Linked DNA regions of Drosophila melanogaster. The protein of the gene in region 1 purifies or fractionates together with the protein of each later gene. This does not show direct contact. Each region holds a gene or a part of one and is shown on either strand. Other genes may lie near its edges.

The links.
Region 2: the proteins of Taf10 (region 1) and Taf1 purify together in Drosophila melanogaster (affinity purification with western blotting; 2 studies listed by BioGRID). This does not show direct contact.
Region 3: the proteins of Taf10 (region 1) and Gcn5 purify together in Drosophila melanogaster (affinity purification with western blotting; 4 studies listed by BioGRID). This does not show direct contact.

The regions. Positions count from the first base shown.
Region 1 is NT_033779.5:2,765,843-2,769,220, forward strand, and holds Taf10 (TBP-associated factor 10), read left to right. Parts: upstream 1-2,047; 5' UTR 2,048-2,138; coding exon 2,139-2,384; intron 2,385-2,443; coding exon 2,444-2,701; 3' UTR 2,702-2,770; downstream 2,771-3,378. Other genes in the region: aph-1 (anterior pharynx defective 1), read left to right, coding at 473-865, 925-1,248; Taf10b (TBP-associated factor 10b), read right to left, coding at 1,495-1,935; colt (congested-like trachea), read right to left, coding at 2,803-3,378. UniProt on the Drosophila melanogaster protein: TFIID is a multimeric protein complex that plays a central role in mediating promoter responses to various activators and repressors.
Region 2 is NT_033777.3:6,644,857-6,648,611, forward strand, and holds the start of Taf1 (TBP-associated factor 1), read left to right. Parts: upstream 1-2,032; 5' UTR 2,033-2,133; coding exon 2,134-2,315; intron 2,316-2,437; coding exon 2,438-2,745; intron 2,746-2,808; coding exon 2,809-3,072; intron 3,073-3,126; coding exon 3,127-3,338; intron 3,339-3,403; coding exon 3,404-3,755. UniProt on the Drosophila melanogaster protein: TFIID is a multimeric protein complex that plays a central role in mediating promoter responses to various activators and repressors. Largest component and core scaffold of the complex.
Region 3 is NT_037436.4:12,522,297-12,526,051, reverse strand, and holds the start of Gcn5 (Gcn5 acetyltransferase), read left to right. Parts: upstream 1-2,037; 5' UTR 2,038-2,148; coding exon 2,149-3,407; intron 3,408-3,461; coding exon 3,462-3,755. Other genes in the region: eIF2beta (eukaryotic translation initiation factor 2 subunit beta), read left to right, coding at 1-66, 375-898; ver (verrocchio), read right to left, coding at 967-1,611.

The DNA.
Region 1 (3,378 bases):
TAATACATATCGTGTACTTTAGCAACAAGTTATTTTTGAATTAACAGACTTTATATAGTAGGGTATGAAGACATTAGTGCTCTGCAGTCTGGCAGCTTTCAAAAATGTATCTTCAAAAGCGGTCCTAATATACCCTTTCTGTAGTTCAGTAGATATTACTTTTAAAGGCTGGATTTGGTTTTTATATACAAATTAAAGCAAAGGATAGGTAATTAGGCAATTAAGTTAAGATTAAAAGATTCCCATTTGTTTGGATAATTCTCGCAGTTTAAATAATTTGTATACTTTTGCGTGACGCACAAGCTAATGTACTCATCTGTGTAGGGTATGTACACTACTAAAACGTACAGTGTGGCAGCCCGAATGGCACTGCAAAAGTCTGGCAACTCTATGCGAGTCTCTGCTTCCTCTTCCCAAGTAAACCAAAACACCCACAGAGCAAAAGAAAAAACAGTAATAATACAAAGACAAGATGACGTTGCCCGAGTTCTTTGGCTGCACCTTCATCGCCTTCGGACCGCCCTTCGCCTTGTTCGTCTTCACCATCGCCAATGATCCAGTGCGGATCATCATTCTGATTGCGGCGGCATTCTTCTGGCTGCTTTCCCTGCTGATCTCTTCCCTGTGGTATGCCCTGATTCCGCTGAAGGAGTTCCTGGCATTTGGCGTGGTCTTCTCGGTGTGCTTCCAGGAAGCCTTCCGGTACATCATCTACCGGATACTGCGCAGCACGGAGCAGGGATTGCACGCCGTGGCGGAGGACACGCGAGTGACGGACAACAAGCACATCCTGGCCTATGTCTCCGGCTTGGGATTCGGCATTATATCCGGGATGTTTGCACTGGTCAATGTGCTGGCTGATATGGTGAGTGCAGCAAAGGTGCGTAATGTGCTCCGAGCAATGACAGATCTTTTGGTTTTTAGAGTGGTCCCGGCACCATGGGCTTGAAGGGCGGAACTGAGCTATTCTTCGTCACCTCGGCTGCCCAGGCGTTGTCGATTATCCTGCTGCACACCTTCTGGAGCGTTATTTTCTTCAACGCATTCGACACAAACAACTATATCCACATAGGCTATGTGGTTTTCAGCCACCTGTTCGTCTCCCTGATAACTCTGCTCAATGCCAATGAGCTTTACACGACCACTCTGCTGATAAACTACTTGGTCACCATACTTACGGGAGTCCTGGCCTTCCGGGTGGCTGGAGGAACATCTCGCAGTTTCAGAAAATTCATAACATGCCAGTAAACATACTCCTAGTATTAACCGCCTAGTTAATAGCTTTTGTATAACATTATAAAAAAAAACAAATTACCTTGTATATGCTCGATTAGTTACGCATTCTATGGACTTAAATCCCTTTACTAAATGGATTTCTTGAAAGAATGAGAATGCATTAAGATCCCAAGGTCTTTCGCAATAAATTCCCAAAACACAGATCTTAAGATACATTATTTTTAATGAGAAAAAAACTACTACAATGCATGCCATTATCTACTGACTATAGTCCACTTTCCTAACATTAATACCGTAGTCGGCCAAAGCCGGCTGCAGATCCTCCATGGTCAAGGTGAACTTGCGGTCCTTGGCCTTCGATCCTCCCGGTGTATTGGTGGTTTGCATATGGGTGCGCGCCTTGGAGTGCTGCAGTGCATCGTCGATGATGTCGGACATGTACTTCTGGGCGGCTAGGCTGATCAGCCGAACGATGCGCTTGTCGTCCGACTGAAAGCCTCCCATGTTGAGATAGTGCGAGGTGACCGCATCCGGAATCAATGGAGTATAATCTTCCAGCTGCGACATGAAGTCGCTGAGATGCGAAGATGGTGTGGTCCTATCCCGATCTCCACCGCCACCTCCTCCCGAGGATTGTCCATGACTGCTTGCGCCACCGGCGCTGTTGTGGTAAATAATTCCGAAATTGGAGCCCACCATCGAAAAAAGTGTACAATACAAATTAAACACAGTGCAGACGTAGTGATGGGAGATGCTAGTTATCGAATTATTCCGTATTGTTGCTGCCAGTGCTATCGATTCTTCTTACGGTTCGTCATCGATTACAATATAAACATACACACATATACACGCCAGCTGAGATAACAAATTTCTGGAAATAAACAATTAAAAAGTGGAAAACAATGGCTTCCGATGGCGAGGACATCAGTGTTACACCCGCAGAATCCGTAACATCGGCCACGGACACCGAGGAGGAGGATATAGACTCGCCACTAATGCAGTCCGAACTGCATTCCGACGAGGAGCAACCGGACGTGGAGGAGGTTCCTCTGACGACGGAGGAATCGGAGATGGATGAGCTGATAAAGCAGCTGGAGGACTACTCGCCCACCATACCAGACGCCCTCACCATGCACATCTTGAAAACGGTAGCTATATACCGGAAACTATTCTTTGTAGCATTTCTAATATTGGATTAAATCTGCAGGCTGGCTTCTGCACAGTGGACCCCAAGATAGTGCGCCTCGTCTCGGTGTCCGCGCAGAAGTTCATCTCGGATATTGCCAACGACGCACTGCAGCACTGCAAGACGCGCACCACGAACATCCAGCATTCCAGCGGACACAGTTCCAGCAAGGACAAGAAAAACCCCAAGGACAGGAAGTACACGCTGGCCATGGAGGACCTGGTGCCGGCACTCGCGGACCACGGCATCACCATGCGCAAGCCGCAGTATTTCGTTTAGATTTAGTTAAGCTCTAAAGTTTTGAATTGGGCACACAAATATAGCTAGTTTTCTTCAAGTTGTAAAAACATTTTAGCGAGGCACTTTCTTTATTAGACAAACTAGAAATTTGGAGCTACGATGTTAAAGAATTTGTTAGCCAACTCAATGCCGAAGAAGCAGGCAGCGTTGGCTGGGAAGGCTCGGAGCATGATGGGCGTCACGCCGCGGTACAAGGCCAGAGGTCCATCCTTGACAATCAGATCCTTGAAGACACTGCGTATGCCGTGCTTGTAGGTGCCTTCGGGAGCCGATTGTAGGCGGCTCTTTAACACGTCGGCTGGCATGCCCAGAATCCAGTAGGCCATGCCCGCCACTCCACCTGCGAAAATCGTTGAGGCAGTACTGATTTGTCCCGTCTCTGACTTCGACTTGGCCACATCCTGCAGCGCCTCGTAGACCAGGAAGTACAGCCCGTTGGCGGGCAAATCCCTGAGCATTGTGGCGCAGCTGCCCTTGAAAACGCTGCGAAGTCCACCCTCCTTGTATAGCTTGCCGGCGCAGTCGATCATGCCGTTGTACTTGCGCTCGCCACCCTGACCCTGCTGCGTCTGCAGGAGCACCTTGATGCGCTCGCCGGGTGCCATTATCAGGGTGGAGAACAGGCCGGAGAAGGAGCCGGCCACGAAGATTTGCGG
Region 2 (3,755 bases), on another chromosome or scaffold:
TTAGGCAAAACAGATTTTGGACACGTCGATAAACGCCAAAAATCTAACAAATTCGAAAAAAATATTTTATTTTAGTTTTGCTATCTATCAATGTTCCATCCATATTTTGATTTAGCTGCGTAGTATCTGATAGTCGAGGTAATCGACTAGAATTTGTTTCCTTATTGGACGATAAGAAATTTTGTACCGTAGGCAAGCTAAGTTTACATACCCTCTCAAGTAAAAACATCTCATGTAATTTTACAATATTGTCCGTATGAACGTGTGACCCTCCATGTCCCCCCATGCCCCGCCATGTCCGACCGTGTCCCAATGACGGGACTTGGCTTGGTGCGGGCTGACACGAATCTCGATCTATATGTGGATATTAGTAAACACATGTATGGAATGTCATGGAGTTCTCCTGATAATCGTGTTGGTGACAGGTAACAGCAGTGCGTTATACAGCGAAACAAGAACTATAGATTTCTTTAAGCATGGAGATGGCATATCCAGAGCCATTCCATTAAATATTCCCCCTCTAGGTAGACCTTTCTAAAAGCTATCGCAGGCAGTAACCCTCTAGTCCTCGTCCTACACAAAAACTCGAATATCAAGTGCGACATTCTGAGGGATTGTACTGAAAAACACAAGATTCACTTTGCTTTTCGCAGCCACTTTCTCATCTTAATGATCATATTCTTTCTGCAACAGCGTAAATACTTGCCACCCATCTCCAAGCTTCAAAGTGGCTTAAGTCCTGATCACGGTCGGTATACGTAAATATACGTATATTTATTTTTATTATATCATTCATTCAGCGTGGATAATTAAGTTTCGAAAATTTAATTTGAGGCATTTTATAATGAAGGGAAATTCCAAAAAGACGAAACACAAAAAAATATTCGATTTTTACTAGTCTACCTTTAAATTTTCCCACTTTGTGGTTTTCCATATCTGGGAACAGAAGCCTTGGTAAAGGTAAGTTATAAAACATATAATTAATTTGAGGTACAATGAAGTCGGTCACGGAAAGAGATTAGCAAAAAAATGTACACAATGGCATTGGTTTGTGTCCTAGAGAAATGCTGCCTTGAATTAAAATGATTCTTTAGAGTTTAAGCCATGAAAACGAATTTTCAGCCGGTTTAATCATCAGAAATACATTTTATAACGAAAATCTATTGAAAAACCATAGATTCATTTGATGTAAAAGTTTCAGGATCGGATTCTTGAAGGTGACTAAATTTGTGAGCTCAGCGTACTCTTCCTTTAATCCGTTCAAATAGTTCAAAGCCTGCATATAAAAATCCTACATTCCCATGCAGTTCTTTGGTACAAATATGACAATTTGTGACAGTACAAATCCCAAAGTTGTGGATAGTCTCTTCGAGATTATCATTAAAACGATTCTCAGCTAGAGAAAGCGCAGTTGGTAAAATCGTTTGAGTAAAACCAAGTTAAGAAGAGACTTCTGAAAATAAACATATATATATTTATAATAAAAAATGAATAATAAGAAATATATAAAAATTGATGGTTTAAGTTTTTGCTATCTGAAGTAGTTATGATTGTTTGCTACAGATTTCTGTAAAATCTGAACAACAATAGAGAAATATAGCTCCTTCAACGTTACAAAACCGTAACACAAATGTAGGTCTGAGAACTGTAATTCTAAATTGGCATTGTAGTGCTTATGTATGCCCATTTTTTCTCCAATGAGCGTTGAATAAACTATTTTTGGCTGAATAAAGTTATATTTTGATAGAAGCTGAACAAAAGTGATCGTGTTAATGGTGTTTACAGAAGTTCTATTCAGAAATATATAATTATACAAATGAAATGTACGAATATCAAAGGAATATATATTTTTTAATAAAAATCCACGTATGCCATACATGGTACAAAATTGCCAATTAAAAATATTACAGAGCCCTTTTTGTTGGACACTAACCTTCGGTACAAAACGCAATTGACCTTCCCAAGCTCCCAACCCTTGTCCAAATCTAATCGCGGATTTTCTGGTGCCAGTGGGGAGCCATGAGGCATCTTTGCTTTGTCCATCGACGGTCACACTTACGCGTGTGAAAAATGCAATTACACTCCGTCGAAGAAAATATACTTTAGCCGCGTAAACATTGCAAGCCCATAGAAATGGAGATGGAATCTGACAACAGCGACGATGAGGGATCGATCGGCAATGGATTGGACTTGACCGGCATTCTTTTCGGCAACATCGACTCCGAGGGCAGACTGCTGCAAGATGACGACGGAGAGGGGCGCGGGGGCACCGGTTTCGATGCGGAGCTCCGGGAAAACATTGGTTCCCTTTCCAAGTGAGTACACATGCTTGTACATACATATGTAAACCCGGTATCATTCAAATATATCTTAATTCACAAGATATAAGACACTTTTAATTACATTTCCATTCATATTGCGTATGGATTACTTTCAGATTGGGTCTGGATTCTATGCTGCTCGAGGTTATCGATCTCAAGGAAGCCGAGCCTCCGTCGGATGACGAGGAAGAGGAGGACGCCAGACCGTCAGCCGTCAGTGCCAGCGAAGGAATGAGTGCCTTTGATGCGCTCAAAGCGGGCGTTAAAAGGGAGGATGGCGCCGTAAAGGCTCAGGACGATGCCATTGACTACTCTGACATCACCGAGTTATCCGAGGACTGCCCACGCACTCCGCCCGAAGAAACAAGCACTTATGATGACTTAGAAGACGCCATTCCCGCCTCCAAGGTAGAGGCCAAGTTGAGTAAGTAAGACCGTAATCTACAACGGTTTGATGACATTTAATTTAACCAGTTAACACTGGTAGGAGAGGATATTGCTCAAATTTTTAAAGGTCTATGCAATTCCTGTCAAAGTGACACGATTACTTTTGCACCGCTCAGGTTGGGTTCAGACCTATTGCTATACAGAGAGAATAACTCACATTTTGTTGCAGCTAAGGACGACAAGGAACTAATGCCTCCACCAAGTGCACCAATGCGCTCCGGCTCTGGCGGCGGCATCGAGGAACCGGCCAAGTCAAATGATGCATCTAGTCCCAGTGACGATTCCAAATCTACCGATTCAAAGGGTAAAAATTATTTGAAAACAATAGAATTTTTTTGTCAATGGTCATTCCTTTAAGATGCGGATCGGAAGCTGGACACACCACTGGCAGACATACTGCCGTCCAAGTACCAGAATGTGGATGTGCGTGAGCTCTTTCCGGACTTTCGTCCCCAAAAGGTGCTACGCTTCTCCCGTCTCTTCGGACCCGGTAAACCCACGAGTTTGCCCCAGATCTGGCGACACGTGCGCAAACGCCGCCGCAAGCGAAATCAATCCAGGGATCAGAAGGTAGAAGATCAGAGTACTTTTAAACGGGACGGGATCACCAGGAAACTTTTCGTAAACCATTTCAGACGACAAACACTGGTGGTTCGGACTCTCCAAGCGATACTGAGGAGCCACGAAAGCGGGGCTTCAGTCTGCACTATGCTGCAGAGCCAACGCCAGCGGAGTGCATGTCCGACGACGAGGACAAATTGCTGGGCGACTTCAACAGCGAGGATGTGCGTCCAGAAGGACCGGACAACGGCGAGAACAGCGATCAGAAGCCAAAGGTGGCTGACTGGCGGTTCGGGCCTGCACAGATTTGGTATGATATGCTAGAGGTGCCCGACTCTGGAGAGGGGTTCAACTATGGCTTCAAGACAAAGGCAGCAAGCACCTCGTCTCAGCCGCAACTCAAAGATGAACGCCGTGTAAAGAGTC
Region 3 (3,755 bases), on another chromosome or scaffold:
AGAAGGAACTGGACGAGCTGTTTGCGGACCAAGCGGACGACGACAAGAGCGAAGACAAAGAGAACGGTACGGTGACGAATTGCAGAGCAGCCAGGGAAGCTTAGGGTTATAGAATCATCCCAACCAAGATTGGCAGCCATATAAGCTTGTTGTCACTTGACAAAGGCAAAGCTATACGATTCTTAAAGTGTATAACTTGGCTTTCGCCTTTTCCGAAGCATTAAAACTCAGTGTATGAAGTGAACTAGAAATGCTTAGCCAGTGAGTTAGCATGTAGCTGTTCCAACTTTAAATAGACTCCAGATTTCAAAGCTCTCACTTAGCAAATAAGCTTATACCATACCCTTTTAAATAACGTTTTCATCCGTTTACAGACGAGGACAACAGCTCAACCTGGTTTGGCTCCGACCGCGATTACACATACGACGAGTTGCTGAAGCGGGTCTTCGAAATCATTCTCGACAAGAATCCGGACATGGCCGCCGGCCGAAAGCCAAAGTTCGTGATGCGACCGCCGCAGGTGCTGCGCGTGGGAACCAAGAAGACCTCCTTTGCCAACTTCATGGACATTGCGAAAACGCTGCATCGCCTGCCCAAGCATCTGCTCGATTTCCTGCTGGCCGAGTTGGGTACCAGTGGCTCCATGGACGGCAACCAGCAGCTGATCATCAAGGGCCGTTTCCAGCCCAAACAGATCGAGAATGTGCTGCGTCGCTACATCAAGGAGTACGTCACCTGTCACACCTGCCGCTCCCCGGAAACGATATTGCAGAAGGACACGCGTCTCTTCTTCCTGCAGTGCGAATCCTGTGGCTCCCGCTGCTCGGTGGCCAGCATTAAGTCAGGTTTCCAGGCTGTCACCGGCAAACGTGCCGCCATACGAGCAAAAACAACCTAAATTCTCCTTATTTAAAACTTTTTGAATTTTTATTACCAGTAAAATTTCAATACAAAAAACCAACGATACTATTTATTTGTTGTATTCTGCATTGTTTTATGCCTTCGTTGCCAGTCGGTTAGGTAGTCTACGAAGCCAATTTCCATATTCCGCGATCGGCCGCTGTCTATGAAGAACTGAAAAGCGTCCAGACCCATCTTGCCGCGGAACCTATTCGGACGACCGCGCAGGAATAGGCTGTGGCCCCTCGAGATGCGCGTGGGATCAATGTACTCCATGGAGACCTGCAGCAGCCGCATCATGCTCACGGCAATGCTCTTGTAGGCCTCGGACGAGGCCAGCGAACTGGCTTCACTGTACAGGCTGCTGATCACGCGTCCATTGAAGGGTTTTTTGGTGATGCTGGCCTCCAGGGAGCCGGTGCCATCATCGATCATGAACTTCATGAACGACTCGTTGTGCGTTCCATTGCCAGTTACAAAGGCGTAGATGATGCAGGTGCAGAAGTGAATCGGATGCACGTCGTCTGTGATGAACACATTCTCGTTCTCCGGATCCTGAGTTGCGCGCTCAATCTGGGATATGGTCAGCGGCACGTTGTCGTGGACCTCCGGACCACATTTGCCCGTGGACTTTTCACTCTGTTGATTCTTGCGTATCACGAAGTTATCCAGCTGGCTTTCTATGTCCTCGAAACTCTGATTAAAATCCATTCTATTTGCTTAGTCTGCGATTTCAAAGGGGATTTCTTTATTGCAGTGCATTTTGCATTAGCGCCAAAAAAAAAAACAGTTGTGAGCATGGGCGTAGACTTCGTATTTTCTTACAAATAATATTAATTAAAATTAATTTTGTGAGCAATTTTCACACAATTGTATTATAAGTTAAAACCAGGGTCACATTAATTTGCAGAACCGCGCAATATTTTCTTTTTAACCCCCTTACAAATTTTCAGTTGTTTTGACTACGCCCCTGCTAATTTTTACTTATTAAATTCAAAGTCTAAAAACATTGTCACCAGATAATACGAGTATACACTATATGGACAAACGTAAAATCGTTAATAGAATATATATATTCAACCATTATTTCACCACCGAGAGAAATTCATTTGCACAAAACGCCAGGTTGGCAGCACCATCATTGCGCACAGCAAGTGGGCAAACTCGTTGTATCGCTTGTGAAATTTAAGGAAAAGTACACTTTGTTCAAAACTAACGAAGAGAATCGCAATATCTGCCGATCTTGGAATGTCTGGTGGTCCATCCATAACGATAAAAAGCCAACCAATCGATGGTAACAACACGGGCAACGCTGCGGCGCAACAGCAGCAGCAGGCAGCGAATGGCGCAGCAACCGCTGGTGCATCTGGAGCCGCTGGCAGCGCCCAGAATCCAGGACACGGAGGAGCTGCGTCCGGCGCTGGCAGTGTGCCGGCAGAGGGAACGCGCCAGAACAGCCTACAGCGCATTCAGCAGCGAAAGCAAAAGGTCTTCAATCTGCCCGTGCCACAGAAACTGGCCAAATTGTCGATGTATTCCGCCTGCCAGTCTGAGGGATGCCGTTGCACCGGCTGGAAGACACCGCAGGAAAATCGCCACCGTGACGTCGAGTCCTCCTACTGTCCGGAGTTCAACGAGGAGTGCCGCAACACCAGCTGTCGCCATTCGCTGAGATCGCACATAGCCCATCTGGACAATATATCCAGTTCCAGCATGAACGAGCTACTGGGCGCCATTATAGACATGGAGAACCTATTCATGTCCATGCAGCGCGTCGAGGACGAGGACACCAAGAAGGTGTACCAGTACCTCTTCCGTTTGCTGCGCCAGTGCGTCCTCACGCGCCAGCAGGCGGTCATCCGGGGTCCTCTCGGCGATCCACCATTCGAGACGCCGTGCATCACCAAGGCTGTGCTCTCGTTGGTCTTCTACAAGTACAATCACCTGAGCACGCCTGAACTCCAAACCATGACCGAGGTGGCCAAGACGTTCTTGAACTTTCTGAACCACTACAACTTTGAATCGCCGTCGACCAGGAGAGGAGATCTCACCCACGAGGATGCCTCTAACTACAAAATCAACTACACCAGGTGGTTGGTGTTCTGCCACGTGCCCGCCTTCTGTAACTCCCTGCGCCAATGTGAAACGTCCCTAGTGTTTGGACGAACGCTCCTGCGCACCGTTTTCCAGTGCATGTCGCAGCAGCTGAAAAAGAAGTGCATCTCCGAGCGGGATCGCTTTCCCGAGGACAAGCGTTCGATCATCACGCTGATGCCGAAGTTTTTGGAAACGCTTCGCGCCGAATTGCTCAAGGATGATTCGCCCATCTGGGATACCAGCTACCGCCCGTCAAATTCCTTTGTCATCCAGCAGAGAAAGCGTAACCAGGAGGTGGCAAATGTACCCATTGGTCCCAGTGCAGCAAGCATTGGTGGAAACAAGAGGACCAGTGTGGGTGAACCGCTCCACAAGCGAATCAAAAAGGAGCCCACCGATCGTCCAAGCAGGTTGGTAATCAGTTTTTTCTTCTTTCAATACATTTACTAATCGTCCTGCCGCAGTGAGAATTTGGATGACCTGCCTGCGGATGTAGTAATGCGCGCCATGAAATCGGTGTCCGAGTCGAAGACCACCAACAAAGCGGAAATTCTCTTTCCGGTTAATGTGTCGCGGGATGAGAACGTCAAGGCGGAGGAGCAGAAGCGAGCCATTGAGTTCCATGTGGTGGGCAATTCGCTGACCAAACCGGTGGACAAGCAGACTGTTTTGTGGCTACTGGGCCTGCAGCTCGTATTTGCCTATCAGCTACCCGAGATGCCGCGCGAGTACATCAGCCAGTTGGTTTTCGACACCAA